7 linked regions of the Canis lupus familiaris genome follow. The protein of the gene in region 1 purifies or fractionates together with the protein of each later gene. This does not show direct contact. Links are inferred from orthologs where the notes say so. Each region holds a gene or a part of one and is shown in the gene's direction. Other genes may lie near its edges.

Region 1 (2,965 bases):
TTGAAAGCCTTGGGGATCCATCTGAAAAGAGCGAGGCCCACTTCTCCCCATTACTTTTCTAGATGATCGTCACCGGATTGAAGAGAAACGTAAAAGGACATATGAGACCTTCAAGAGCATCATGAAAAAGAGTCCTTTCAATGGTGAGGGGGCAGTGGAGAGCATGAGAGAGGTGGCCAATGGGGGAAGGGGACGAGGAAGTGGGGGCTAGGAACTGACCCATCCTCACCCCACAGGACCCACTGACCCCCGGCCTCCACCCCGGCGCATTGCTGTGCCTTCCCGAAGCACGACTTCCGTCCCCAAGCCAGGTGAGGATTTCCTGTTGTCCCACCAGAACTACAAGCTCAAATCTGTTCAGCCTGTGGTTTAGACACCTTCTGGGTTGGGGGGATAAGCAGTCAGCTTCACCAGCAGGTGTCTGAATCCTGCTCTCTGTTGGGCTCATGTTTCTCAGGGCTTGAGGCCTAGTTACTACATCAGAGCCATTTGGGGTGTGGTGAAGACATGCATTCCCGGGCCCCTTACTGACCTGTGCAATCAGGCTTTGGAAACATGGCCCAGGAAGCAGCTAATGCACTAGTGAGCACTGAGGTCTGAGAGCCACTGTGTCAGCTAGGTCCCATATTGGATGCCTTGGGAGATAGTTTAAAAATGTAGTCTTTGACCTCAGCTCTCAATCGAATTAGGGAAGCAAAATCCCCTCCAATGTAGTAGAGTGTATATGCTGGTAGCTGGTAGCAGAGTAACAAAAAAGAGTAACAAAGTGCCCTGCTTCAGGCCATGACACTGGATGCTACTTGGGCTCAGTGTCCAGGCTCCTGGTCTCTTGAAGTTTTACCAGCTGATCTCTGACAGCATCCCTTTCTCTTAAAGGCTAGGAGAGCTTTGTGGGGCCCCACAGGAGGGGGTGAGGATAGAACTGCACAGGTCAGATGGAGTAAAAGGAAGGAGTGAGGGTGCTGGCAGGGAGCTCCTAGGGAGGTGTTGATCCTAATCCCTAGCACAGGGGCTAGGGCACAGACAACGGGGTGGGTCTCTACAGCTTCCTCTGGCCCCTGATTCTCTGTCTCTTTCTCCCAGCTCCCCAGTCCTATCCCTTTACGCCATCCCTCAGCACCATCAACTTCGAGGAGTTCTCCCCCATGGTCTTTTCTTCGGGGCAGATCTCAAGCCAGACCTCTGCCTTGGCATCAGCCCCTGCCCCTGCCCCAATCCTGGCCCCGGCCCCGCCAGCCCCAGCCCCTGCCCCAATCTTAGCCCCAGGCCTTGCTCAGGCCATGGCCCCCCCTGCCCCCAAGACCACCCAAGCCGGGGAAGGGACGCTGACAGAGGCCCTGCTACAGCTGCAGTTTGATGCTGATGAAGACCTGGGGGCCCTGCTGGGCAACAGCGCTGACCCAGCCGTGTTCACAGACCTGGCCTCCGTCGACAACTCTGAGTTTCAGCAGCTGCTGAACCAGGGTGTATCTGTGGCCCCCCACACAGCCGAGCCCATGCTGATGGAGTACCCTGAGGCAATAACACGCCTGGTGACAGGGTCCCAGAGGCCCCCTGACCCAGTTCCTGCTCCCGTAGGGGCCTCTGGGCTCCCCAACGGCCTCCTCTCAGGGGATGAAGACTTCTCCTCCATTGCAGACATGGACTTCTCAGCCCTTCTGAGTCAGATCAGCTCCTAAGTGGGTGTTACCCTGCTCAGAGCACTGGGTTGCAGGGGATGGAAGCCCTCCCAAAGCAAGCACTTATGGATTCTGGGGGCGGGGGGGGGTTGTATGTGCTCCAACTGCCCCCACCTTCTTTGGGTGATGTCTTGGGGGGGGTGCATTTTATTCTTTTATTGGCAGTGTCTCTCTTTTTGGAGGTGCTTAAGCAGAAGCATTAACTTCTCTGGAAAGGGGGGAGCAGGGAGGACTCAAACTCTTCCACTATCCTAATGTTCAGCTCCCTTCTCTTTATAAGGAATTCTGGGGGCCCCCATCCCTACCCTCCAGCTTCTAATACTCTCCTAGAGAGGGCCGGGCTGGAGCTATGGCCTTTGAGGCCACAGAGCCTTATCACCAAGTGTCTTCCTCAAATCATGGATTCATTCTCACCTTGTGCCAAAATAATGCCCCCTACCAGCCCCTCTGTGGTGCTGGCATTGTCCTTAAACTAACACCAGCATTTGAGGGCCTGTCCCCCTGGCCCAGCAGAGGTCTCTACCAGCTCTTCCCTTGCTCAACTGTGGCCCAGGGGGACTGGTGGGACAACACTGGCCCTTTCCAGGATCCAGGGAGGTTCAGTCCGAGACTTTTCTGTTCCCCCTTTTCTCAAGTGCCTTAATAGTAGGGCTAGGTGTTTGGAGAGTAGGGGGGAGGGCAGGCTGGCAGCTCTCCAATCAAGAGGCTCGGTTTTTACTGAAGAATGAAAGCAGTTGGACTCTTGCTCTTTCTACTCTGAACTAATAAATTCATTGCCAAGCTGGCCGTTGGTTTCCCTTCTTTTAGCAAACCGAACACTCTTGGCTGGTCACGTCAGGCTGGACATTAGTGAGAGCTGGATGAATATTTACAGTGCCTTCTAGAAGTCTGAGGATCAAAGCCCGTGGGTCAAGGCAGGCAACTAATGTGGGTGGGGGCTCAGCATAGAGAAGAAGGCCCAGTGGGGCCCACTGGCTGTGGGGATGGAGTAGTTTCAGGAAGGGCATCAGAGGCCATACCAGCTTTAGGTCTTAGATCAACAGAGGCAGGAGAGTCTTTACAGAGCCGCTACCAGCGTTCCAGTGTGAGACAATCTTGAAAAGCTTGGATGGGGCCAGGCTATAAAGGTCAAGGACTCTGAATTTAAAAACGGTTTGAATTTCATCTCTTGAGTGGCCAAGGGAAAGTCCACATCTGTTGAGGAAGAGGAGATTCCAGGTAAAGGTCTATGCTCTGACATCCTGTTCTGCGAGGGCCGAAGAAATAAATCAGCGTAGAGAGGCCTA
Region 2 (4,240 bases), on another chromosome or scaffold:
TCTTCCCTGGTCCCTCTGCTCTGCTCCCCCGAGAACTCTGGTGATTCCATGAGTATAGGACAGAACTTTGCATCAGATTCTTTCTGCTGCTGGGGAAAAGCTCAAATGGCTTCTAGAGCCAGACAATGAATGAGTGAAGATGCCAGGGATTGTGGCATGTTGGAAAGCCCTTCGCCATAAAACAGGGAAGGAGAGGGCTGCCATGAGGAAATGTAGGTCTAGTATTTTGCTGGATCTTTCTGTATTTTTAAGAGAAGCTTAAAAGAGTTTTATAGAGAAGTTTCCTGATTTTTAAATGTAGGCAAACTATTCAAATTTAAGGGGCACCTGGGTAGGTCAGTGGTTGAACATCTGCCCTTGGCTCAGATTGTGATCTTGGGGGTCTTGGAATCCAGTCCTGCATCAGGCTTCCTGTGGGGAGTCTGCTTCTCCCTCTGCCTGTGTCTCTGCCTCACTCTCTCTGTGTCTCTCATGAATAAATAAATAAATCTTTGAAAAAAAAACTATTCAAATTTAAAATAAAACTGTTCATCACAGAAAAACTTGTTTTTCTTTTCTTCTTTTCTTTTTATTGTATCTGTATGACACGATGGGTATTAGCTGAACCTATTTTGGTCATCATTTCACAATATTTGTAAATCAAAGCATCATGCTGCATGCCTCAAACGTATACAGTGATGTATGCCAATTATTTCTCAATAAAACTGTTGTTGAGGTGTTTCAGAGTAAAGTGTGCAGAGGGCTGTAATTTACCTTGAAAAAGATCAAAAGATGCACCCTTGGGTGGATAGAGGGATGGATAGATATGGGATAAAGCAAATATGGCAAAAATGTTAATTGGATCACCTTAGTGACGCATATACATAATTCTTTCAACCTTCCTGTGTGCTTGAAAATTTCAAAATATAAGGGGTACAGTTTTTTTTAACGGAAAAATAATTGTGACCCCATGAACCACTACTTGGTGACTTCCGTTACTAGTTTTAATGGACTTTATGAAAGTGAGGCAGAGGTAAATGAGTTCATAATATAAAGGGCATAGAACAGTCCCTAGCATATTTAATAAATATTAGATATTTATATCGCCAGCATTTGGAACAGAGAAAACGGACACAGAAGGGCTGGACCTAAACGAATTTCATTGAGTGTAGAGTGCAGGGACTAGGATTGCACGCTGTTGCTGTGTGAGTTTATACCTGTAATTTCCATCTCTGCGCCTCACGTTGCTCACTTAAGCTAATAAGAATTGGACCTAAGCTCCCCTGATTGATCTGCTCCCTTTCCTGTTTCTGCCTATACGTGTCTCCATTACCCCTCCTTTTTTTCCCCTCTTTAATGCCTTCCTAAAAACTACAATTCCCAGGAGCGCCTACAGGCGTCGACGTCGCGCAGTTCTTTGTCGTAGCTCGCGCCCTTTATACCTACTTCCGCCCACGAGCCACTTCCTTTTCTTTCCGGGGCGCGCGGCGGCAAGATGGCGGTGCAAATTTCCAAGAAGAGGAAGGTAAGACGCTGGGGTCTAGGTTCGGGGATCTGTGGTGCCGCGCGGGTCGAGGCTTGTCGAGATGCCGTCGCGAGACCCTCAGCTTCGAGCCCTGCTTCGGGAAGCGGCCTGGGCCGCGTGGCATTCCCGCGGACCGCGGATGGCGGTGGATTGAATGCGAGGCCCGAGCCAGGCGAGCGCGGTTTGGCGGCGGAAGGGAGTGATGAGAGACGTCTGCCGCTTCTGGGCGAAGACCAGACGTGAGCACCGGGCGCCCCTCCCGCCCGAGACAAAGCGCTTGGGAGCATTACTTGGTTAACAGGTAGCTTTAGTAAGCGTATTTTGAGAGGTTGGGCCGTTCCCCCTAATGTCTCTCACTAGGACTTTGGGGGGGGGAGGTGGCGTGTGCACGCCTTCTTCGTGTCGGGGCGCGGCCCTCTGACCCCCGAGACCTCGGTTGGAGAGGCTGCTGTATCTTGCCCCGTCTCTACCGCGGAGAAAGTAACCGGGAGGGAGGAGAACCGGACAGAGCACTGGATCGAGCTTTAACTTTTCGCTTTTCCGCAGGCGGAAACTGTAAAGTCCGCTTGCTTTAGAAAGAGGCAACTAACTTGTCATTTTGTGTGTGTACACAGCGTCGTGCAAATCCACACACTTTTTCGAATTAGAGTTCAGCTTTGTGAGACATGTACTGTAGGCAAGATAACATGGCTGGGAGTCTTCTGATGGTCCCTGAAGGCAGCGTATTTTCATGGGTTACAAAGGTAGCATCTCTGCTCTGCAGACAGAAGGAGTTGTGAATGTGCCATTTTATTTTATTTATCTTAAGATTTTACTTATTTATTCATGGGAGACACAGACCCAGGCAGAGGGAGAAGCAGACTCCATGCAGGGAGCCCGATGTGGGACTGGATCTCGGGACTCCAGGATCACGCCCTGCGCCGCCCTGGACCGGAGGCAGGCGCTTAACTGCTGAGCTACCTGGGCATCCCGTGAATGTGCCATTTTAGAGCAGCTGTTTGTTTGGCATGTGCTACTCCTAAAGAAGTCTTTAAAACCCTTCAATGAAGAGAAGATGACGAGTCTGACTGGAGGTGTTATCTTTGCCAGGCGGCCCCTACTCCTTGCTGCGTTCTGTGGCAGTTTTAAGGGTCCTTGGGTTAAAGTAACTTCCAAAGGACGATCTAGAGGCATTTGTCTGAGAAGGGTTGTTAAATTCTGTGTTGGAACAAGGGTAGTAAGAGTGATGATGGGATGTTTGTATGAGGTGTTGCATTGGCAGAAGGACAATGACCCTGCCATCCCACGTTCTAATTGTGAATTTTCCCTTTTGGTTAGTTTGTCGCTGATGGCATCTTCAAAGCTGAACTGAATGAGTTTCTCACTCGGGAGCTCGCTGAAGATGGCTACTCTGGGGTTGAGGTCCGAGTTACACCAACCAGGACAGAAATCATTATCCTGGCCACCAGGTGAGATCTCATTTTCCTGGTTAGCACCTGTTACTTGTTGTATATGCTAGGTTGGTGTATTCTGTAAACTTCCAGGGAGAACCAGTGAATTGGCCTTATTAGCAAACGTAAGTGGTTTGTTTTTGTTTTTAAGATTTTTATTCATTTGAAAAAAAAAAAAAAAGATTTTATTCATTTGACTGAGAGTGCAAAGCGGAGGATGGGAGGGGGTGTTGAGGGGCTGAGGGAGGAGCAGGGAGCCCTTTGCCGGGCTTGATCCCAGGGCCCTGGGATCTTGACCTGAGTGACCTGAGCCAAAGGCAGACACTTACCAACTGAGCCAACGTGGCACCCCACAAATGTGTATTTTCGTAACTGCCTTTTAAATCTGATTCTAGCTCTTGTCATCCAAAATTTGTATTTTCTATGTTAGACGGGTGAGACTTCATTACCACATATATGTAAAATTTAAAGCCATGTTTGCAGTTTTGTGAGAGCTATTGTGTATTTTCGTTTTCTCAGGACACAGAATGTTCTTGGTGAAAAGGGCCGGAGGATCCGGGAATTGACTGCTGTGGTTCAGAAGAGGTTTGGTTTTCCTGAGGGCAGTGTAGAGGTGAGTGATTTTGCCTTTTGCCAGAGATTACCGTGGACCTGGAAATGGTTATTTAGGGTGGTTACTTTTATAAACCCTTAATGTCATGAAGACCTTAGTTATCACCAAGTATTACATATGAATTGGTGTTTTGTTGGTTGTCTTAATAAGTAGCAGGCTTTATTTTATAGGCCTTTTCTGCTCATTTCTGGTGGTTAAGGGACTTTTTTTTACTCTCAACTTAAGTATGGTAATGATATGTATGATGGATTGGCTATCCCATCACTTGATGTAGCTGTAGAAGTATCTAGGGATGAGAGGGCAATAAGGAAAGATTCAGACTATGTCACAGCGTAGGCTACCTATGAGTAGTAGGAGTGTTTTAGTACTTGAGGGATGCCACAGTGACCACATGCTTGTATGGTGAATGAGTTTTTTTTTTTTCTTTAATTGAAAACAATGGGGAAAGTTAACAGGTTTAAGGGTGTACCTTGATTTCTTCTTAAAGCTCTATGCCGAAAAGGTGGCCACAAGAGGTCTATGTGCTATTGCCCAGGCAGAGTCACTGCGTTACAAACTCCTAGGAGGCCTTGCTGTGCGGAGGTAAGTGTCCTGAGACTTTTTTTTTTCAAGATTTTATTTATTTATTCATGAGTTATACACAGAGAGGCAGGGAGATAGAGGGAGAAGCAGGCTCCTCACAGGGAGCCTGAT
Region 3 (3,500 bases), on another chromosome or scaffold:
TAGTCATTTTTCCATTGTCCTGGCTTTTTTTCTAACCAAATTGTTTAATGTTTGGGCAAAATAAAGATTGGTTTAAAAAAAAAAGAAGGAAGGAGGGAATGAAACCACAATGATAGAGCCGAAACTGCTGTGAGTTTTATCGTTTTAAGTTTTTAAGGTATTATGAAAGTACCATGAGAACCTGAGTCTTGATGCTTTCTATTACTTAACTATTTCAGCAGTAGACAGTCCTTAACTTTCTCACTGGACTCTCTGAGGTTTTACAAAGTGATAATGTGTATTCCTTTACAGTTTATAGAGGGGACCACTTTGGAGTCAGTGGTAGTGCTAAATGACACTGTTCACAGTAGATTAGAGAAGCCAGTGTCCCTGACACTGATGAGAAGATTTGCTGAGGGTGGCTGTCATAAAATATTCATGGGGCGGATGGTAAGAGCTACTTGTAGAGAGGCTAAGAAAAGGTTGTTACAGAATTAGTTTGCTAACTTTGTTTTGTACGTGCTTATGATTTCTTTTTGCAAACAATGTAGGAAAACCAATGATAGAAAAATGTGAAAATTTCAGTTTCACATATAAATCATACACCAAGAAAAAGTCTGGATATTGTGTGGGTTTATATTTCTGAGATGCTTCATATACCTAATAAGAGGCTCCCACTATGACCTCATAAACTGGACAACCCTAATATGCAGTATCATCTAAGAGGGGGTGTCCCTAAGCCTCATCAGGAGAGGGAAACCTCCATGCTCATGAACTGGTTCTTTTTTTTTTAAAGATTTTATTTATTTATTCATGAGGGACACAGAGAGGCAGAGACATAGGCAGAGGGAGAAGGTGGCTCCCCATGGGGAGCCCGATGTGGGACTTGATCGCAGGACCCCAGGATCATGACCTGAGCCAAAGGCAGATGCTCAACCACTGAGCCACCCAGGTGCCCCTCGTGTACTGGTTCTAACTTTAGCAGGCCTCATGGATTCCAGGCCAGAAGTGCCTGGCCTGGAAGCCTAACACCCCTGGCTGTACATACTATATCCTCTCCTCAACCCACACACATGCCTTTTCTTTCTCTTTACTGCCTGCAATCCCTGTCTCCCCCAGGAAAGTCCTTGTTATACCATTTAGCTACGTGGTTTCATCAATTCAGACATTAAAAGAATGCCGAATAAAAATTAAAAGAATAGTAATACATGCATGTGATTAAAAAACTGAATAAAAGGAAATATAATGAGAAGGCTTCTACCCAATTTAGTCTCTTTAAAAAAAAAAAAATGTTTTTATTTATTTAAGTATTCTCTACACCTAACATGGGGCTCGAACTCATGACCCTGAGATCAAGAGTCACATGCTCTTCTGACTCAGCTAGCCCTGTGTCCGCCAAATTAGTGCTTTAAAATATACAAATGATCTAAATATACATATGTATCTTTCTACGTGTATAATGTGGACTGGGAGTGAAGATAGAAACAAGTTCAGGAGAGTGAAAATCATGAATGGGACAGACATGAAGAACTCAAGGATAGTGTGAATCATGTGTGGGAAGTTGTTTCACAGAGATCTGTTTTACTTTCAAGGCTATGGGATATTGAATGTGGTGCCTGTTTAAGAGTCCTAGAGGGACATGAAGAATTGGTCCGATGCATCCGGTTTGATAACAAGAGGATTGTCAGTGGGGCCTATGATGGGTATGTATTTCAAATTTTTAAATACACTACTATCACTGTATCTAGAGGAAAAACAAGCGCTGTATATTAAGCAACTATGTATGTGCCAATTCTGTGCTAGATCTGTGTAATGGATGGCAGATGTTATTATACCACTTGATCAGGTGAAGCCGCTCAGGCCCAGAAGGATGAGTGGTCTTGCCCCAAGTCTTACAGTAGGATAGCTTCTGTAACTCCTATGCTTACACTTTTAACCATTAGTGTAACCATTATTGTAAACTTTGTAAGTAGCTTAGGTTGTACAGGAATTCCATTCTTTGCCTCAGTCCTAAATTAAGTTAGCTGTGTGTGCGTGCGTGTGTGTGTGTGTGTGTGTGTGTGTTCAGTGGTCCATTTCCTTTACCCTTTGGTTAAACACTCTTTTTTAAAAAAGCCTCAGGACTTTTTAAATGAGCAAATGGCAACTGTAAACCTTTCAAGGTGACTTTATGTATACTTCACAAATGGACTAGTTGGTCTGTTTATACTCCTTTGCTTAGTTCGAAGAAAGGTATCCTTGGAATTTCACAGAGAGTCCTAGCTTCTGTCAGCAGCACCTACTCAGCTCCAGAAAGCCCTCTGATTAATGAATTTGGTGACATAGATTATCAGGTCAGGAACTGAATTTAGATAGCCTGAAGTTGTTTTCTCATCTCCCTTAAAAAATATTTCTTCACAGTTTCAATAATTCCGAGAATGTGTAGGTCCTTATTTTTTTTTTCAAAATCAAGTGTAAATGGTTTAAATGACTTGTTACGACATAAGCAGTCTCCATTAGCTTTTCTTTTTTTTTTTTTTTTTTTTTTTTTTTTTAATTTTTATTTATTTATGATAGTCACAGAGAGAGAGAGAGAGGCAGAGACACAGGCAGAGGGAGAAGCAGGCTCCATGCACCGGGAGCCCGATGTGGGATTCGATCCCGGGTCTTCAGGATCGCGCCCTGGGCCAAAGGCAGGCGCCAAACCGCTGCGCCACCCAGGGATCCCTCCATTAGCTTTTCTAATAGCAGTTCAGATGTACTTTTTTCTATCAAGGAAGTTCCTGACGGTATATGAAATGTTGTTAACTTTTCTACTAATCGCAATCTCCATTTATTTTCTAGGAAAATTAAAGTTTGGGACTTGCAAGCTGCTCTTGACCCTCGAGCCCCAGCAAGCACTTTGTGTTTGCGCACATTGGTGGTATGTAATCTGTTGAAATGGGAGTGGTTCCTGCCCTGGAAGATGATACCTGCAGATAGACCTGCCTAGGTGTATCACAAGAAAGCTTGTGTATCTCATCACAGTGTGCCTTCAGAGAAATGCGCTGTTTTGTTCATTTTGTTTAGCCAAAAGCAGAGAATAACTGACATTTACATTACAGGGAGCTCTTTCCCAAGGAGCATTAATACAACTTAATATGTGAAAGCAGGCATCCTCATTTGTAGGTGGATTGGTTTCCTCTAGAGTACAAAGTATTTCCTGTAGATTTGGGAGATTTCTTAATATGGGTATCTGGTTACGTTATATTTTTATAATATAGCACATGTTTGTATTATGATGGAATTTCCCCTTAATCTATATTGTATGGATTATTGCTTTGGCATATAAAAATACCTTATTTTTATGTGTTAATCTTGTTTTAGCAACTTTGGCAGGCTCATTATTTCTAATAGTCTGGTTGCTTTTGTTACATTAATGAGGAGACAGTTGTTTGAAAATATTGATAGACTTGTTCTTATTTTCAGTAGCTTTACCTTTTATTTCTATTTTTTTGCTTCTTGCACTGATTAGAACATGCAGTACTGTGATTAGGACTATT
Region 4 (3,864 bases), on another chromosome or scaffold:
AACGGGCAGCTGCGCGGGTTCGGGGTGGAGGGTGGGGGGTGGGCTTGAACCCCACCTCGCTCTCTTACGAGCCTCCCTTTAGGGGTCACGATGTGGGGCTTTATGTGGGGGTACGGTAGGGATGACACGGCCGCGGGGTCCTCCACCTTGGGCCGGCAGCTCAGGCGACGCGGGCCGCAGCGAAGACCCTGCGCTGTCCCTCTCCGGCCCGCTGCTTTCTCCGAGGACAGGGCTGACTTCCGAGAAAAGAACGAACTTCCTCTTTTTAGCCCCGTCGGAGGTGAAGTCTTTGGGGTGGCAAGCGGCTTTAGGCTTGGGTCGCTGTGGCGGGATAAAGGAAGGCCCAGATGCTTCTGAGGGAGGGGTGAGAGCAGGCCGGGGCACCGAGCCGCAGTCCCCGCAGTCGCGGCCACGTCTTCAAAAACCGCCCACGACCTCAGGGCCAGCCGCGGTGGTTTGGGCTTTGCAACTCGGGGTGTGGGGGTGGGGAGGTGGGGAGGTGGGGAGCCCCTCCGTCCACCTGGCTATAGGGAGGAGAGCTCCGCGGCTGCCAGTTTTCTTGCCCCTGCCCCCGCCCCGGCCATCCCAAAGCGGCCCCCGCGGACCTAGAGGGTACAGGGGCGAGATGAAGCATCACCCACTGCGTAGAAGCTGTAGCCGGAGCTGCCGCTGCTGTCACATCCACTCCGGGAGGGACTGACACCGCGGCCGAAAGGTCCCCTCCGGCCGCCTTCCGGGGCTGCGCTCGGGTGCGGGGGCGCGGCCCGCGCGCGCTCGGGCGCGGAAGGAAATCGCCCCGCGCCGGCCCGCGGAGGGCGGCGGGGCGGGAAGGGGGAGGGCGGCGGGGCGGGGAGGGGAGGCGGGGAGGCGGGGAGGCGGGCAGAGGGCCGGCCGCCGCAGCCAGGTCGCCTTTGAATGGTTTGGGAGAACGAATTGTTAGACCCCGCGGAAAGGGGGGTGGGGGTGGGGACGAGGAAGGGGGTGGGAGGGCAGGGGGGCCTGGAAAGCGGAAACTTTCCTATAAAACTTGGAAAAGTCCCTCCTCCCCACGTCAGGCCAATGACACCGCTGCCCCCAAGCTTTCCGCCCGCGCGGAGGTATAAGAGCCTCCGAGGCTGCAGCTCTCGTCCAACTCCCAGACACCTCGCGGGCGCGCCGGCACCGGCGGCGGTTCCGAGGGCAGGGCCGGGCCGGGCCGGGCGTGCGTGCGGCCGCTGGGCGCTTCTTTTTGGACCTCGGGGCCATCCACACCGTCCCCTCCCCCTCCCGCCTCCCTCCCCGCCTCCCCCGCGCGCCCTCCCCGCCCCGCCGAGAGCCTCCCGGGCCTCCTCCCGCCCCTTCCTCGGCGGCCGCACCGCCCGGGCCGGCGCCGCGCGCGGGGGAAGCTGGCGGGCTGAGGCTCCCCGCCGTCCTCCCTTTCCCGGGCCTGCGAGGCCGCGCGCTGCCACCTGAGAGATGATGCAGGACGTGTCCAGCTCGCCAGTCTCGCCGGCCGACGACAGCCTGAGCAACAGCGAGGAGGAGCCGGACCGGCAGCAGCCGCCGAGCGGCAAGCGCGGGGGGCGCAAGCGGCGCAGCAGCCGGCGCAGCGCGGGCGGCGGCGCGGGGCCCGGCGGGGCCGCGGGCGGGGGCGTCGGAGGCGGCGACGAGCCGGGCAGCCCGGCCCAGGGCAAGCGCGGCAAGAAATCTGCGGGCGGCGGCGGCGGCGGCGGCGGGGCGGGCGGCGGCGGCGGCGGCGGCGGCGGCGGCAGCAGCAGCGGCGGCGGGAGCCCGCAGTCGTACGAGGAGCTGCAGACGCAGCGGGTCATGGCCAACGTGCGGGAGCGCCAGCGCACGCAGTCGCTCAACGAGGCGTTCGCCGCGCTGCGGAAGATCATCCCCACGCTGCCCTCGGATAAGCTGAGCAAGATCCAGACGCTCAAGTTGGCGGCCAGGTACATCGACTTCCTCTACCAGGTCCTCCAGAGCGACGAGCTGGACTCCAAGATGGCAAGCTGCAGCTATGTGGCCCACGAGCGGCTCAGCTACGCCTTCTCGGTCTGGAGGATGGAGGGGGCCTGGTCCATGTCCGCGTCCCACTAGCAGGCGGAGCTCCCCACCCCCTCGGCAGGGCCGGAGACCTAGGTAAGGACCGGCGCCTCCGCGGGTCAGGTGGCGGGCGGTCAGACGGACGGCCGGGCCGCGGCTCCCGGCCCACCTGGCCTTCCTCCGCGCCCCCCCCCCCCCGCCCAGGTCGTCCCCCGCCCCCCCCCCATCAGCCTTCCCACCCAGCCTGGCACCGCCACCTCTTCCCCCGAGCGTCCCTGAAAGGCAGGTCGGTCCCCGCTAGGGTGAGGGGGACGCGCCCCGTGCCGGGTGTGCTGCGTGTGCGTGAGTGTGCGTGTCGGACAGGAGGGAGGACTTGAGAGACACTCGAGGGTCGTGGGGAAGGGCAAGTCTGGTTGCCAGCGCCTCCCTTTCTTCTGGCTCTAAGTTTTCGTTCTCCTTAAAACAAATGCTTCCAAATTCCACCTCCTCCTTCTTTCCGGCCACCCACTTCCTCTTGCCCTTGGGCTGAAATCCTTCCAGGTTGTTCAGCGTAATTTCTCAGTAGTGGTGATAAGAACAGTGCTCGCTAGTCTTAGAAAACAGCCACGAAGACCTAAACAATAACCAACTTTCCAACCCCCCCCCCCCTTCTGGGTTTTTGCAGATGTCATTGTTTCCAGAGAAGGAGAAAATGGACAGTCTAGAGACTCTGGAGCTGGATAACTAAAAATAAATATATATGCCAAAGATTTTCTTGGAAATTAGAAGAGCAGAACCCAAATTCAAAGAAACAGGGCGTGGGGCGCACTTTTAAAAGAGAAAGCGAGACAGGCCCGTGGACAGTGATTCCCAGACGGGCAGCGGCACCATCCTCACACCTCTACATTCTGATAGAAGTCTGAACAGTTGTTTGTGTTCCTTTTTTTTTTTTTTTTTTTTGACGAAGAATGTTTTTATTTTTATTTTTTCATGCATGCATTCTCAAGAGGTCGTGCCAATCAGCCACTGAAAGGAAAGGCATCATTATGGACTTTCTCCATTTTAAAATGGTACCAACCAGAGGAATTTTAAGAACGTCTTTAGAAATAAAAATACGGGGATCTAACTGACTTGCAAAATCACAGTCAGTTAAACCCTCTTTACAGTCTTCCTCTGAGAGAGAAAAAAAAAAAACTTAAAATACAAAAAACAACATTCTATTTATTTATTGATGACCCATGGTAAAATGCAAATAGATCCGGTGTCTAAATGCATTCATATTTTTATGATTGTTTTGTAAATATCTTTGTATATTATTTTTCTGCAATAAATAAATATGATTGAAAATTTTAAGAACCTCAGAGTTTGGTCTATATTTTTAAAGCTCAGGATTAAGTTGGAGGTAAATACCTGCTTGTTTAACTCTGGAGGCACCCAGGAGGGAGGGGGCACTAATATAAACAAAGCAGTGAAAAACGCAAATAAACTAGCTACTGACAGGCACAGGCGTGTTATTTAGAAAGACAGCTTTATTATTATTATTCCAGTTTGGTGTTCAGTGGACTTTGTAGCATCTCTCCTTCATCTCTTATCAGGCCCCCCAAACAAGCAAAAACTTAGGAAATTTGTTACTCACTTCTCTTGCTTATATTTTGAGGAGGCAGCTGTAAAACAGTTAAATGCAAATAAGCAATATGAAGCCAGGACTATTTTTCTCTCGTTACTGTATTTTTTTGTTCTACCCTCCACTGTTTGTCAGGACTTTTAAGTAATAGCGTTCATTGCACTGAAAGGATGCCCAAAGTGTTACTAAAATGATCTGTATCTGTACACTTACAAATCAGTAGGAATGCGTAG
Region 5 (4,039 bases), on another chromosome or scaffold:
CCCAACCAAGGAGCTGTCCGTGCCAGGGGTGCTGGTCCGGGGCAGGGGTGCCAGACGGCGGCTGCGCAAGCCCGCTTCCACGACCCTGATCCTGCTTCCCCGACGCCCAGAGCGTTCCCCTTTCCAGCTTGTCCTGCGCTTCCGTCCCTCCCAAGGACACTGCAGAGCGAGACGGGACGGAATTCTCAGGCGGCCGGTGCAAGAATCGCGCCTGAGTCAGCGTCCGCACCTCCTCCGCGCGGGCCTGAGCCAGGCCTCGGCAGCCCCCTCCCCTGCCTGTATTCCCGCACGACGCCACCCTATTCCCTTCCTCCCATCCTCACCACCTGGCCCACTCGGTACCGGTGGTTTGGTTCTGGCTCCGGCTCCGGCTCGGGTTCCGGCTCCAGGGACGTCCTAGTCCGGCTCAGGGCCCCCGACGCCCTCCCGGCGCTCATCCCTTGCTTCCTCCCCCTCCCCCCTTCGCCACCTCACCGGCTCCGGGCTCCGGCTGCAGATACCGGTGCCGCGGCAGGCGGGGGGAGGGAAGGATGAAGAGGGATGCGGGCTGGTTGCGAGCGGCGGCTGGCTCGGGACAACTCCGGCTGTGGGAAGGGGATGGAGATGGGGGTGGGGGGCGCCGCCGCAGCTGCCCTGGGTTCCCAAATGCCTCCGCCAGTCGCCAGCCGCCAACCCGGGACCAGGGGGCGGAGCGCAGGTGTGCGAGGCGGAGAGCGAGAGGCTTGCGCGCTTGTGAGCGCAAGTGTGGTGCGCGCGTGACTGCGCCGTCCCCCGCCGCCCCCCTTCCGCCCCCCCGGGGGAGTGTGCGGCGCCGAGTCTGGGTCCGGGTGGGGAGGACAGGCAGTCAGAAGAAAGCGCGCTCCACTGGTCTATCCCGCATGTTTGGCGCGGCTCCCGCCCTCAGATGCCTCGGTCGGGTGGGTAGCCGGGAATCTTCCCCGCCGGCAGGGGAAGTTGGCTTTCTGCACCCGAGAGGGACGGCGTGGCCGGTTCCCCGAGTCTCCTAGACCTGCCCCGTTTGGGGCAGGTGGATGGACGAGACGGCTCAGATTCCTGAGGATTTGACCCCCGCCGGAAGGAAATGACTAGCATCCTAGCACCGAAGCCCCCGGTGCTCCGTAGAGCCCAGACGCTCAGGCTCCGGAACTTGGAAGGGCGAAGCCGAGCGAGGGGCGGAACTCCGCAGGGGGCGTAGCCTGGGAGGCGGGGCCTCACCTTCCCGGTTCCGCAGAGGCAAGCTGCGTGCTTACGCAGCACGTAGGAGCGGGGGTGGGGCAGGCGGCCGGGCGGGTGGTGGTGGAGGTGCGGGGCCTGGTCCCGCCGGCACCATGGCCAAGACTGTGGCCTATTTCTACGACCCCGATGTGGGGAACTTCCACTACGGTGAGGAAAGGAGGTTGTAGGTGAGGGGTTTCGGGACGCGGAGGTTTCGAGGCGGGGGCTACAACTCCAACGACGGGAACTGACGAACTCTCTTCTCCCACCCCAGGGGCAGGGCACCCTATGAAGCCCCATCGCTTGGCATTGACCCACAGTCTGGTCCTGCACTACGGTCTCTATAAGAAAATGATCGTGAGTCTCGCCGTCGCTGCTGGGTATTAAGGGTGCGGGCGAGTTGTGTGGCCCTACGATATAGGTGGGCTGCCCTGAATGCACCAGGTGCGACCCACCCTTGGGGTGGGGGTTGGGGGTTGGGGGTTGGGGAGGCTGGATATAAGGAGCCTAGAGCACCCGCCATATGCCCAGTGTTGGTGGGTGGATCCACCGCCTTAATGGGAGTTACTTTTTCAAACCTTAGGTTGGCCACTTTTGACCTCAGGTGGACCAACCTCTGGCCTGTGGTTAGGGTGGAATGGGGCTGGTTTGAAGACAGAGGTGTTTTTCTCCCTAGCGTCTTAGGATGTGGGCAGTGCTGTGGCTTCAGGAGAGAGGGGCTGGGTTACTTTATCTGGATGTGACGTGTTCCCACCGCAATTCTCACCCCTTCTCTGCCACCTCTCTCCACCTCCAAGGAGCTATAGCTCCAGGAGGGACTGCAGCCCTGTGTGCAAATGTGTGTATGGAAGAGAGCAGGAGATGTTCTGGGAATTTCTTTGTCAACTTAGCATACCCTCACAGGGTTATATTTAATTGCTACCCAGTCCTCCATCTCCCACATATGCACATGGGGACAGACAATCCCCATTTATAGGAATTTATAGTTGTGATAGGCAATTATAACAGTTAAGCTCAGCCCTCATGCGTCACAAGGGGAATTAGTCAATAGTATGAATGAGTGTTGTCTACTGTTTGTGCTGAGGCACAGTCTAGCGAATTAATTATAGAAAAGACCAAGGTGATATTAGTGCATGAATCTCTGAATCCCTTGAAATTGTTTGTTGATATATTCCTGTGTATATATTATCTCGGGAGAGAAGCTTTTTGTTCTTGCCCAATTTCTAAAGAAGTATGTGAACCCCTCAAAAGGTAATACATTTCTGGCTTCACACCTTGGCACCCTGGGGTTTTAATTAGTAAGTTGTCATATAACCCATATTATTTAACTCTAAAATTAAGAATTCAGAGAAGAGAGAGGATGGAATCAGAGCCAGGGGGAAGAGATGAGTATGGCGGAAAAAAAATAGGAGATCCAAGGAACAGGGCAGGTGGATAAGGGCTCAAGGTTGAGAAGGCGGGAAAGGTTGGGCTGGAAGTAGGAAGGAGAAGGCAAGCCCATTAGTTTTTTGGATGCTTGATTGTAGTACCCCACCTGACTAATCAGAGCCTCTCTTCTTCACTGACCTTTGCTTCATAGAATAACAAGAATTGGAGGGGTGAGGGGACTGCTGATGTGTGGTTTTTGGATAGTCCACAGGGCTGGGTTCAATGTGGGGAATCTCAGCCTGATGAATAGGACTGACTTTGCCTGGGTTCACCTTATGTTTCCATCCCGAGGTCTTCAAGCCATACCAGGCCTCCCAGCATGACATGTGCCGCTTTCATTCTGAGGACTACATCGACTTCTTGCAGAGAGTCAGCCCCACCAATATGCAAGGCTTCACCAAGAGCCTTAATGCCTTCAACGTGGGCGATGACTGGTGAGGGGAGAACTGGGATTTTTTAATGCCAGAATTTCAAGGAGAACACTTGAGTGAGGTCTTGTGACAGCAGTGGGAACATATGAATGGGGTCCTGTTTGTCAGTGAATCATCATTTTACTCATTTGGTTATTCAGCAAATGTTGGTCATTTGCTCTAGGCCAGGCCCAGTGCTAAGTGCTGGCAATGCAATGATACACAACAACAAAATTTTAATATTACAGTTGTGCTAAGTCCTGTGAAGGAGAGGTATCTGGCAGACTGTGAGAGTGTATACATGGGGAATTACCCATCTTGGGAGTGGGCTGATCAGTAGAGGCTTCCTAGAGGAAGTAATGGAGATTAAGGTAAGATCTGAAGAAAGAGCAGGGTTAATTAGATGAAATGTGGTTGGGAGGATAGGAGGTGAGGTCAGGAATGTTGTGGGTATTAGGGACAACATGTGCTTGAGGGTCTGTGAGAGGTTGGTGTGTCACTCACTTGAGGAACAGAAAAAAGGTCATTCACTGAATGAAAATGAAAAGAAAAATTATCTGAATTGTGGCTAAAGAGAGGGGCAGGGCCTGTAAAAAGTAAATAACCCTATTATGAATTAGGGCTCTTATCCCTAGAGTAGAGGGAAATTATCAAAGTGCTCTCAAAGCAAGAGAGTGATTTACATTGTGAGAGGTTTATACCGAGCTTTATCATACAAAGAAGGCTCAGAGTTAGGCCCTGTGAGGAAGGGAACAGATAACAAAGATAAGCCGTTATCCTGGCTTACATTCTCATGTATATTCATGAAGATGTAGTGATCATAACAGCTACCATTTATTCAATTTATTTTTAGCCTTTGTATTAGGAAACTTTCAAATATTTCTGAAAGAATAGCATAGTGAACTCCCATATATCCATCACCACCTGTAGCCCTTATGAGCCAATGGACAGTCTTACTTCATCTGCATCCCAGATTATTTTATTTT
Region 6 (3,500 bases), on another chromosome or scaffold:
TTATGCAGCAGATCTTTAGTGAGCTGAGCATCCAGATGTGCAAGGCCCAGCAATGTGCATGATGCATGGGCTTGAACTATGAGAAATTTGACATAAAGGGGCACCTAGAGACTTAAAGCATGACATTGGAAATTTAGGACAGCCCTACATGAGAAAGCCTGTTTGTTCATATCCTCACTAACCCTGAATTTTGTTAATTCACTTAAAGCAGTGTTAAGTGTTTTCTGGTCAGGGACCCAGAAAGCTTAAGTTCTGGCAATGGGAGAATGTAAGTGGCAAAAGAGAGTTGGGGAACCCAGAAATCTCAGCAGCTGTCCTGTTCCTCCTCATGCTCCACACACCCCCACATCTCTGCCTTCTCTCTTCAAGGTCTTTTAGTGTTTATTAATCATGCGCTTCAACCTCTTCTGTCATGCAAGGGGACACGAAGACCTGTGCTGCAAAGGGACGTGGCCAGGGTTACACAGATAGTAAGTGACAGAGCTAGCTCAAGCCCATCCTCTTGGGATGTCTAATTGCCTACACTTCCCACATTTTGGTACAAGGATGGGTTAGGATAAAGGCAGTACCACATTTCATATTTCATGTTCTCCATACCTGAGTTTGAATGCTTGTCACTTTCTTTCTTTTTTTTTTAAGATTTTATTTATTTTAAGAGAGAGGGGGAGAGAGAGAGAATATAATCGAGGGGGAAGGGCAGAGGGAGAGGGAGAAGCAGGCTCCCCGCTGAGCAGGAAGCTCCACCCTGGGCTCAATCCCAGGACTCTGAGATCATGACTTGAGCCAAAGACAGATGCTTAACCAACTGAGCCAGCCAGGTACCCTTTCTTGTCACTTTCTGATGATTATTCTATTCCTGCTTCTTAGGGATATAAGTTTTAACACTTCTTCCTCTATGCCAGCTCTTTTTGAAATGTTAAATTTTAAGAAGGAACTGTTAAAACACAAAATCCCTATTTCTTATTTTTATTTATTTATTTATTTACTTACTTACTTACATAAGCGCTGCACCCAACATGGGGCTTGAACTTATAACCCCGAGATCAGACGGCACATGCTTTACCAACTGAGCCAGCCAGGTGCCCCCCATTTTTTATTTGATATTGCTGAATGATACACTCACAAGTGATAAATGTTACGTTATACCACAATAAAAAAAAAATTCCCCCTTTCTTATCCGAAGGGACTACATGGTGGTGTTTATATCTGTGGGCTTCCCTTCCCCTTCTCCAGCTCACCGGTGTGCACTCACTTAGTAACTGGTAGCTTTCTCATTTTATTGGCAGGATAACCTCATTAGCAGAGTCACAACTTCAGACCCGCCAACAAATTAAGAAACTGGAGGAGTTACAACAAAAAGTGTCCTATAAAGGGGATCCCATCGTCCAGCACCGGCCAATGCTAGAGGAGAGGATTGTAGAGCTGTTTAGGAACTTAATGAAAAGGTAACTTCGAATTCCGGTTCCTTTCCCTCATCGCTCCCCACCCCACCACCTCCTTTGCTTTGAGGCGTAGAACGAAAACCAGTTCACTGCAGAGTGTATATGTGGACTGCTGTCCTCTTTGCCTTTCAGTGCCTTTGTGGTTGAGCGGCAGCCTTGCATGCCCATGCATCCTGACCGGCCGTTAGTCATCAAGACTGGCGTCCAGTTCACTACCAAAGTCAGGTGGGCCCCATATTTCCTCTTTTGGTAGATATTTTATTTTTTAAATAAATGTTATTTATTTATTTATTCATGAGAGACACACAGAGAGAGTCAGAGACATAGGCAGAGAGAGAAGCAGGATCCATGCAGGGAGCCTGATGTGGGACTTGATCCTGGGACTTCTGGGATCATGCCCTAGTCTGAAGGCAGACGCTCAACCACTGAGCCACCCAGGTGTCCCTGGTGGATATTTTATTGAGAGATGTTCTTAGGATGAGAGCCGAGTTGATGGCCAGAGTTTTCCTTTCTAGGCCTCACGGGTGGTAGTATAGTGGGTATGGAATTTGCTGGCATAATATCGTATCAATTTGCTTCTTAATTCTCCTGTCAAAAGCTAAGGAATGATTACCTCTTTTTGAGGTTACATGAATATATTCCTACAATTTCAGGCCTATAGTCTTGGGCCATTGTGTCTCCTTCATCCCTGCAACAGAGGCATACTAATGCTGGTTATGTTCTATCCTTGGTGCCTACTTTTCACTACGAATTTTAGGGGAAAGAGTAAGGCATCGAGATATAGAAGCTAAGAGGCCATAGAGCAGGTGGGTGGTGGGCCTGCAGGGTGGGGTGTGACTTTCACACCCAAGTCAGGACAGGTATATTGGGGTTTGGTCTTCTGCAGTGAAATTTCCCTCTTTAGAAACTGGGTGTTAGGTTTCAGGCTTAACAGAAAGCATACCAGCTGCAGAGCGCGTGTTCCTGTAATAATTCTCATGAAACGACTTTCATTATCCTTTTGTAAATCTCATACAACTTTGTCCAAGTTTGTGGTTTTTACGCTTTCTATCAGTAACAATGGGCCTGAAGGGGTGATACTCAGTGTAAGGTCAAAGATGTCACTAGTAGGAAGAGGAATCTGGGATTGTGTTTTATTCACCTTTTAGAAATGAAGGGTTATGAATTCTGTATTCCTTTGAGTAGGAGTTAGTGGTGGAGCCTATTGACTTGTTTTTAAAACTGATATATTTTTTTCTTTACTCAAAAACTTTCCCTCCCACTTTCTTTTGAAATAGATTGCTGGTCAAATTCCCGGAGTTAAATTATCAGCTTAAAATTAAAGTGTGCATTGACAAGTAAGTACTCTGTATGTTAGCTTTTTTTTTTTTCTTTTTTCAAATGAGGGACAGAAATGAGAACTTGGATAATTATCATGTGAACTTAGAGGCTTTATCTCCATTTGGGGATCTTCATTTTTTGAATAGAAGTTTTCAAAAGTCTTGCAGTTCATTGTCATTTGCATGCCTGAACAAAAAACCACAAAGCTGGTGGTACAGATATGAGTTGTGATTGCTATTGTGACCCTGGGTCCTCCTTTTTCTTTAATTTTTTACCTGCAGACTTTTATTATAAAGATGTTGATCCTTCTTGAGAAGGTTAATGTGGCATAAGCAAAATACGTATAGAATTTCTTAACTCTTGACTTGCTCTTCAAGCTGTATCTTAGATGAGAAAAATAGCCAAACATTGTTTCTTTAAAGGATTTATTTATTTATTTATTTAAAATTATGGTAAAAATTTTAACATAAAATTTACCATTTTAATCATTTATAAGTGTATAGTGTTACATATATTCACATTGTTGTGCAACGGATCTCCAGAACTTCATCTTGCAACATGGAAACTTTCCAACCATTAAATAACAAATTCCTGTTTCCCTGTCCTCCCAGCCCCTAGCAACCACCATTCCACTTTCAAAAAAAATTTTTAATGAATAAAGATAAATAGGAATGGTGTAGGAAGATGCCTTGCCAGATACTAAAATGTATCACAAAGTTTCAGTTACTATATGAGTGT
Region 7 (4,098 bases), on another chromosome or scaffold:
TGTTTCATGGGTACAGAGTTTCAGTTTGGGATGTTGAAAAAGTCCTGGAGATGGACAGTGGTGATGGGTGCACAACACTGTGAATGTACCTACTGCCACTGAACTGTATACTTAAAAATGTTTAAAGTGGTAAATTAAACATGTTTTATGCTAAATTAAGAAAATCCCCCTCGATGTAACATATATTGGGAATAGTGTATTATACATAATATTCTGTTTAAGAAGTAATTATAAAGCAAATACATGTGTAATCACCATCTAGGTCAAGAAATAAAATATTAACAAAGGGTATTCCTGTGGCCCTCTCCAACAAAACGCTTCTCCTCCTTTCTGAGTAACACTCTCACTCACAATGTTCCTGACTAACCCTTGGTTTTAAAAAAAATAAGGTTGTGATGTGATAATGCAGGATAAATTAAATCAACATTACAAAATCAATGGAGCATTTCTTTAAATTCCAATATTTTCCATACATGCAATATTTTTTTAATTAATAGCTTTTAAAGTGCCCTCTCTCCTTTCACTCCTGAAACTCTTCATATTCTACAACTTATCTTGGTTCTACAGTGGACCTCACCTGGAGTTAAAAACAACAACAACAAAGCTACTTCACTGTTGAGTTTAGATTTTCATGCCTCCTGCTCTCCCTTGCCTCCAACTACAAAGAAACAATGATTTAAACCCTTTGTGCCCTTTTAGAAAATTACACAGATACCCCATTGTGGAACCCTATAATCCCTTCGTGGAAAGGAAGAGATTAGCATATGAATACAAAGCAAAATGAATCCAGAATACAAAATGATCTACTGGATTGTGAAGCTCTTGTATTCTTAAAAAATGTATTTATTTCCTCTTTTTGTATTGCCCCTTTAGTGGTTCTCAGGGTTAAGGGAACTGAGCTTCCCCTCTGATTACCCGGAAAAGGATTAAAAAAAAAAAAAAAGCTAACATTCTAGGAGGTGCAAAACCAACAGATGGCTCCCAGAGCCAGTGGAATCGCCAGTGGAATCTGCTACACTCGACGTGAGTTTGCTTGCGGGCGAGGAGTGTAGAAAGTGCTGTTCGCAGACTGCGCGGTGAAGGAGAGAAAGCGACAGAAGAGAGAGCCATAGTGCTGACGTTGAAGGCCCGGCCCTGTGAGGTTGCACGGGGTAAGTGGCGTTGGCCAGGAGGCAGTAGCGAAGGGGAAGGAAAGAGGATTTGGGCTAGGGGCGGGGCCTGCGGCGCAGCGTGCGTCCTGATTGCTGGAGCGCCGCTGCCAATCTCGCAGAATCGCTCGGTTAACCAGTGCGCTGGCTAGACGCGCTCAGATATACTGAGTGAGCCCTGAGAAGCAGTCTCAGATCCTGACGGTGCCGCAGCCCGCAGCCTCAGCCAGGGAGTCCCAGCCGCTTTCAATGGAGGAGAAGCCCGGCCAGCCACAGCCTCAGCACCATCACAGCCACCACCATCCGCACCATCACCCCCAGCAGCAGCAGCAGCAGCAGCAGCAGCAGCAGCCGCCGCACCACCACCACCATTATTATTTCTACAACCACAGCCACAACCACCATCACCACCACCATCACCAGCAGCCTCACCAATACCTGCAGCATGGAGCCGAGGGCAGCCCCAAGGCCCAGCCTAAGGCGCTGAAACATGAGCAGAAACACACCCTCCAGCAGCACCAGGAAACGCCGAAGAAGAAAACAGGTCTGGGAGGGAGGACGAGTGGGGGAAGGGGAATGGGGGTGGGGGGTAGAGGGGATGGGGGTGGGGCTGGATGTGGAAAGCGCGGACGCGGTCGGAGAGAGAGAGAGAGTGTGTGTGTGTGTGTGTGTGTGTGTCTCGGTGTCCTGCGGGTCCGGGGAAGCCCCCTTCCATTCTCCCAAAGCCCGGGCTGGGCCGCGGGGTTTGCAGCGCCCTCTCCTTCTCCTCGGCATGGGAGAGGCCCAACCAGGCCAGTGTGACCTTCTCGGCCCCCGCCCGGGCTGGAGGGAGACCTGCAGGGTCGGCCTTGGGAATCTAGCCTCATTATTCCTTTCCCGTTTACCTTCCTGAGGCTCCAGAGGAACCTGAATTTGGTGGCCCTGAGTTAGGGTGAACATACCCCCCCAAAGCCCGCGGGGTGTATCTCTAGAAGGCCTAGCGAATCTCGACGCGGGTGGTGTCGCGAGACCCTCTTGCAGGCGGCGAGGCGAGGGGGTAGGTGGGCAGAGTTGAGGAAGTGTCCTCCCTCACCCGCTACCCCAAGCCCACCTGTGGCCTTGGGGTTCCCCGTCTGGGGGGGGGCGGCCAGGACCCCTCGACTCTCGAGTCATTTCTACCTCTGCGCGCCTTTTCTGGGCACCGGACCCCGCAGTCTACCCTCGCGGCTCCTCCCGAGCCCGGCGCCCGGGCCCGCTCCCCCCAGAGCCGGCGCGGCTGGAATGTTCTCTCCTCCTCGCGGGGCCGCTTCCTGTCCGCCATGTTGGAAGCCGATTCCTGTCACCGACTCCGGCCCGCTGAGGAGCGGAGGGGGAAGGGTGTCGAGGGGGCTCGGCGCGGCGGAGCTGGGGGGGCTCAGGATCCCCACCCGCGGTCGCCTCCCACCCCCCGCCCTGCGGGGGCGCCGTCGCCCCCGGCCGTGGCCTCCCCTCCCCCCGTCGCCGGCCGGGTTGTGTAACCCGGTGGCGGCCGCGCGGCCCCGGGCGGGTCCCTGGGGTGAGGGGCGGGGGCGGTTGGGGTGGGGGAGGGAAGCGGCCACGAGGGGAGCGGCCTGCAGCGGGCCCCGCGCGCCAGCGGCCGCGTTTCCCGCTCCCGGGTGCGGCGGGAGGCGCGGGCGGTCCGGGTGGGGAGCCGGCCTCGAAGTGGGGCCGGGAGGAGGAGGCCGCGGGCGACTGCTGCGGCGCTCCTTGGGGCAGGAGGGCTGGGGGCGGGGGGGATACATTTTGGGTAAAGGCGGTGCCTGAAGGCCGGGTGGGGTACCCAGCGGGAACCAGGCTCCCCGGTCACGAGTTTCTCTGCCACAGGAACCTCGTCTCCTGCCAGGTTCGCTCACGACTCCGCCTCTCAGGCTTTCACTTGGGCCCTCTCTTCAAGCAGCTCATTTTTACAAAAAAAGCTTGTTCTAGCTCCCTCCAGTCCCCCAGCATTTACCTTCTGGGCTTGGGTGTAGCGATTTCGAGGAGAGGGATTAGAAAAATGATCGGATGGGGTAGAGGGTGAGTTTTTTTGACCCCTATTTCTTGTCCTTAAGGGAGAAACGAGGTGGCTCATCCATGAGGTTGGCTCACTACCATCTTGCCTCAGACGAGGCTGTTTTCCATTTTTAAAGGAAAGGTGTTTTCCTATTTTCAAATTGATACGATCCCCAAACTCTTGATTTTCACAAATGTTAAATTGAGAGTAAAAGTAATTTTAGAAGACATTTGAGAAGAAATGAGCTTAAAACCTTGGAATCAGGCAGGGTTTTTTTGTTTTGTTTTTTGTTTTTTTACAAATTAAAGGTTCTTTGTAAATTAAGAAATGAAGGGAATGATAAGAAAATGTTAAACCCAGCAAATCAAATGTGATGCAGTTACTGAGAGCTGGAGAAAAATTCCTATTCTATTGAAGATTTAATGTAACTTGAAGACAAATTGGAATGCCAGATTTTCCACTTCTGGGATGGGTAGGGACATCACGTGTGCAGTAGAAATGAGAATGTAAATGTATTGAGTATTTAATCATAACAGATTTGAAACAGTTTGAAACTATTAGAAAGTATACAACATTAAATGTTTTAACGTTAGGTCTTTTTCAACTTAGAGGAAAGAATCTTGCTTTATTATGGTTGTGTGGAATATAAAGCAGTATTACTGTTCACATTGGAAAATTTTGAAACATTGCTCAGGTATTATACCCCTGCAAGAATCTCCTCTACAGATAGAAACAGCCCCTGAACCATTCAAGGTGGTATTCTTTAAATTAATAGGTCTATCCTGGAAGAGGATAAAGAGGGGGAAACTGGGTTTAGCAATTTTGTGAGAATGTAAACAATTTGGGATAATAGTTTTCCATGTGTGGCCTGGTCGCAGTACTGTTGCTTCAACATGTGTAATACTAATTTACTAAGAAAACTTAGGACTTTTTAAATAT

Evidence for each region.
Region 2: the proteins of RELA (region 1) and RPS3 purify together in Homo sapiens (co-immunoprecipitation; 5 studies listed by BioGRID and IntAct, with this or other methods). This does not show direct contact. The link is inferred for Canis lupus familiaris from reciprocal best matches to the Homo sapiens genes RELA and RPS3.
Region 3: the proteins of RELA (region 1) and FBXW11 purify together in Homo sapiens (affinity purification with mass spectrometry; 6 studies listed by BioGRID and IntAct, counting the BioPlex papers as one, with this or other methods). This does not show direct contact. The link is inferred for Canis lupus familiaris from reciprocal best matches to the Homo sapiens genes RELA and FBXW11.
Region 4: the proteins of RELA (region 1) and TWIST1 purify together in Homo sapiens (affinity purification with western blotting; 3 studies listed by BioGRID and IntAct, with this or other methods). This does not show direct contact. The link is inferred for Canis lupus familiaris from reciprocal best matches to the Homo sapiens genes RELA and TWIST1.
Region 5: the proteins of RELA (region 1) and HDAC3 purify together in Homo sapiens (affinity purification with western blotting; 3 studies listed by BioGRID and IntAct, with this or other methods). This does not show direct contact. The link is inferred for Canis lupus familiaris from reciprocal best matches to the Homo sapiens genes RELA and HDAC3.
Region 6: the proteins of RELA (region 1) and STAT3 purify together in Homo sapiens (affinity purification with western blotting; 5 studies listed by BioGRID and IntAct, with this or other methods). This does not show direct contact. The link is inferred for Canis lupus familiaris from reciprocal best matches to the Homo sapiens genes RELA and STAT3.
Region 7: the proteins of RELA (region 1) and NUFIP2 purify together in Homo sapiens (affinity purification with mass spectrometry; 3 studies listed by BioGRID and IntAct, counting the BioPlex papers as one, with this or other methods). This does not show direct contact. The link is inferred for Canis lupus familiaris from reciprocal best matches to the Homo sapiens genes RELA and NUFIP2.

What each region holds. Positions count from the first base shown.
Region 1 is NC_049239.1:52,058,017-52,060,981, forward strand, and holds the end of RELA (transcription factor p65), read left to right. Parts: exon of another isoform or gene 1-58; intron 59-62; coding exon 63-143; intron 144-236; coding exon 237-311; intron 312-1,083; coding exon 1,084-1,679; 3' UTR 1,680-2,465; downstream 2,466-2,965. UniProt on the Homo sapiens protein: NF-kappa-B is a pleiotropic transcription factor present in almost all cell types and is the endpoint of a series of signal transduction events that are initiated by a vast array of stimuli related to many biological processes such as inflammation, immunity, differentiation, cell growth, tumorigenesis and apoptosis.
Region 2 is NC_049242.1:23,299,725-23,303,964, reverse strand, and holds the start of RPS3 (40S ribosomal protein S3), read left to right. Parts: upstream 1-1,440; 5' UTR 1,441-1,474; coding exon 1,475-1,504; intron 1,505-2,542; exon of another isoform or gene 2,543-2,690; intron 2,691-2,821; coding exon 2,822-2,952; intron 2,953-3,453; coding exon 3,454-3,547; intron 3,548-4,034; coding exon 4,035-4,129; intron 4,130-4,240. UniProt on the Homo sapiens protein: Component of the small ribosomal subunit. The ribosome is a large ribonucleoprotein complex responsible for the synthesis of proteins in the cell. Has endonuclease activity and plays a role in repair of damaged DNA.
Region 3 is NC_049225.1:41,241,322-41,244,821, forward strand, and holds part of FBXW11 (F-box/WD repeat-containing protein 11), read left to right. Parts: intron 1-1,571; coding exon 1,572-1,682; intron 1,683-2,802; coding exon 2,803-2,881; intron 2,882-3,500.
Region 4 is NC_049235.1:33,429,393-33,433,256, reverse strand, and holds TWIST1 (twist-related protein 1), read left to right. Parts: upstream 1-1,342; 5' UTR 1,343-1,455; coding exon 1,456-2,082; 3' UTR 2,083-2,124; intron 2,125-2,692; 3' UTR 2,693-3,364; downstream 3,365-3,864. UniProt on the Homo sapiens protein: Acts as a transcriptional regulator. Inhibits myogenesis by sequestrating E proteins, inhibiting trans-activation by MEF2, and inhibiting DNA-binding by MYOD1 through physical interaction. This interaction probably involves the basic domains of both proteins.
Region 5 is NC_049223.1:35,742,557-35,746,595, reverse strand, and holds the start of HDAC3 (histone deacetylase 3), read left to right. Parts: upstream 1-1,239; 5' UTR 1,240-1,328; coding exon 1,329-1,383; exon of another isoform or gene 1,384-1,403; intron 1,404-1,489; coding exon 1,490-1,572; intron 1,573-2,934; coding exon 2,935-3,077; intron 3,078-4,039. UniProt on the Homo sapiens protein: Histone deacetylase that catalyzes the deacetylation of lysine residues on the N-terminal part of the core histones (H2A, H2B, H3 and H4), and some other non-histone substrates.
Region 6 is NC_049230.1:20,469,442-20,472,941, forward strand, and holds part of STAT3 (signal transducer and activator of transcription 3), read left to right. Parts: intron 1-1,286; coding exon 1,287-1,445; intron 1,446-1,574; coding exon 1,575-1,667; intron 1,668-2,719; coding exon 2,720-2,779; intron 2,780-3,500. UniProt on the Homo sapiens protein: Signal transducer and transcription activator that mediates cellular responses to interleukins, KITLG/SCF, LEP and other growth factors. Once activated, recruits coactivators, such as NCOA1 or MED1, to the promoter region of the target gene.
Region 7 is NC_049230.1:43,380,461-43,384,558, reverse strand, and holds the start of NUFIP2 (nuclear fragile X mental retardation-interacting protein 2), read left to right. Parts: upstream 1-1,298; 5' UTR 1,299-1,397; coding exon 1,398-1,692; intron 1,693-4,098. UniProt on the Homo sapiens protein: Binds RNA.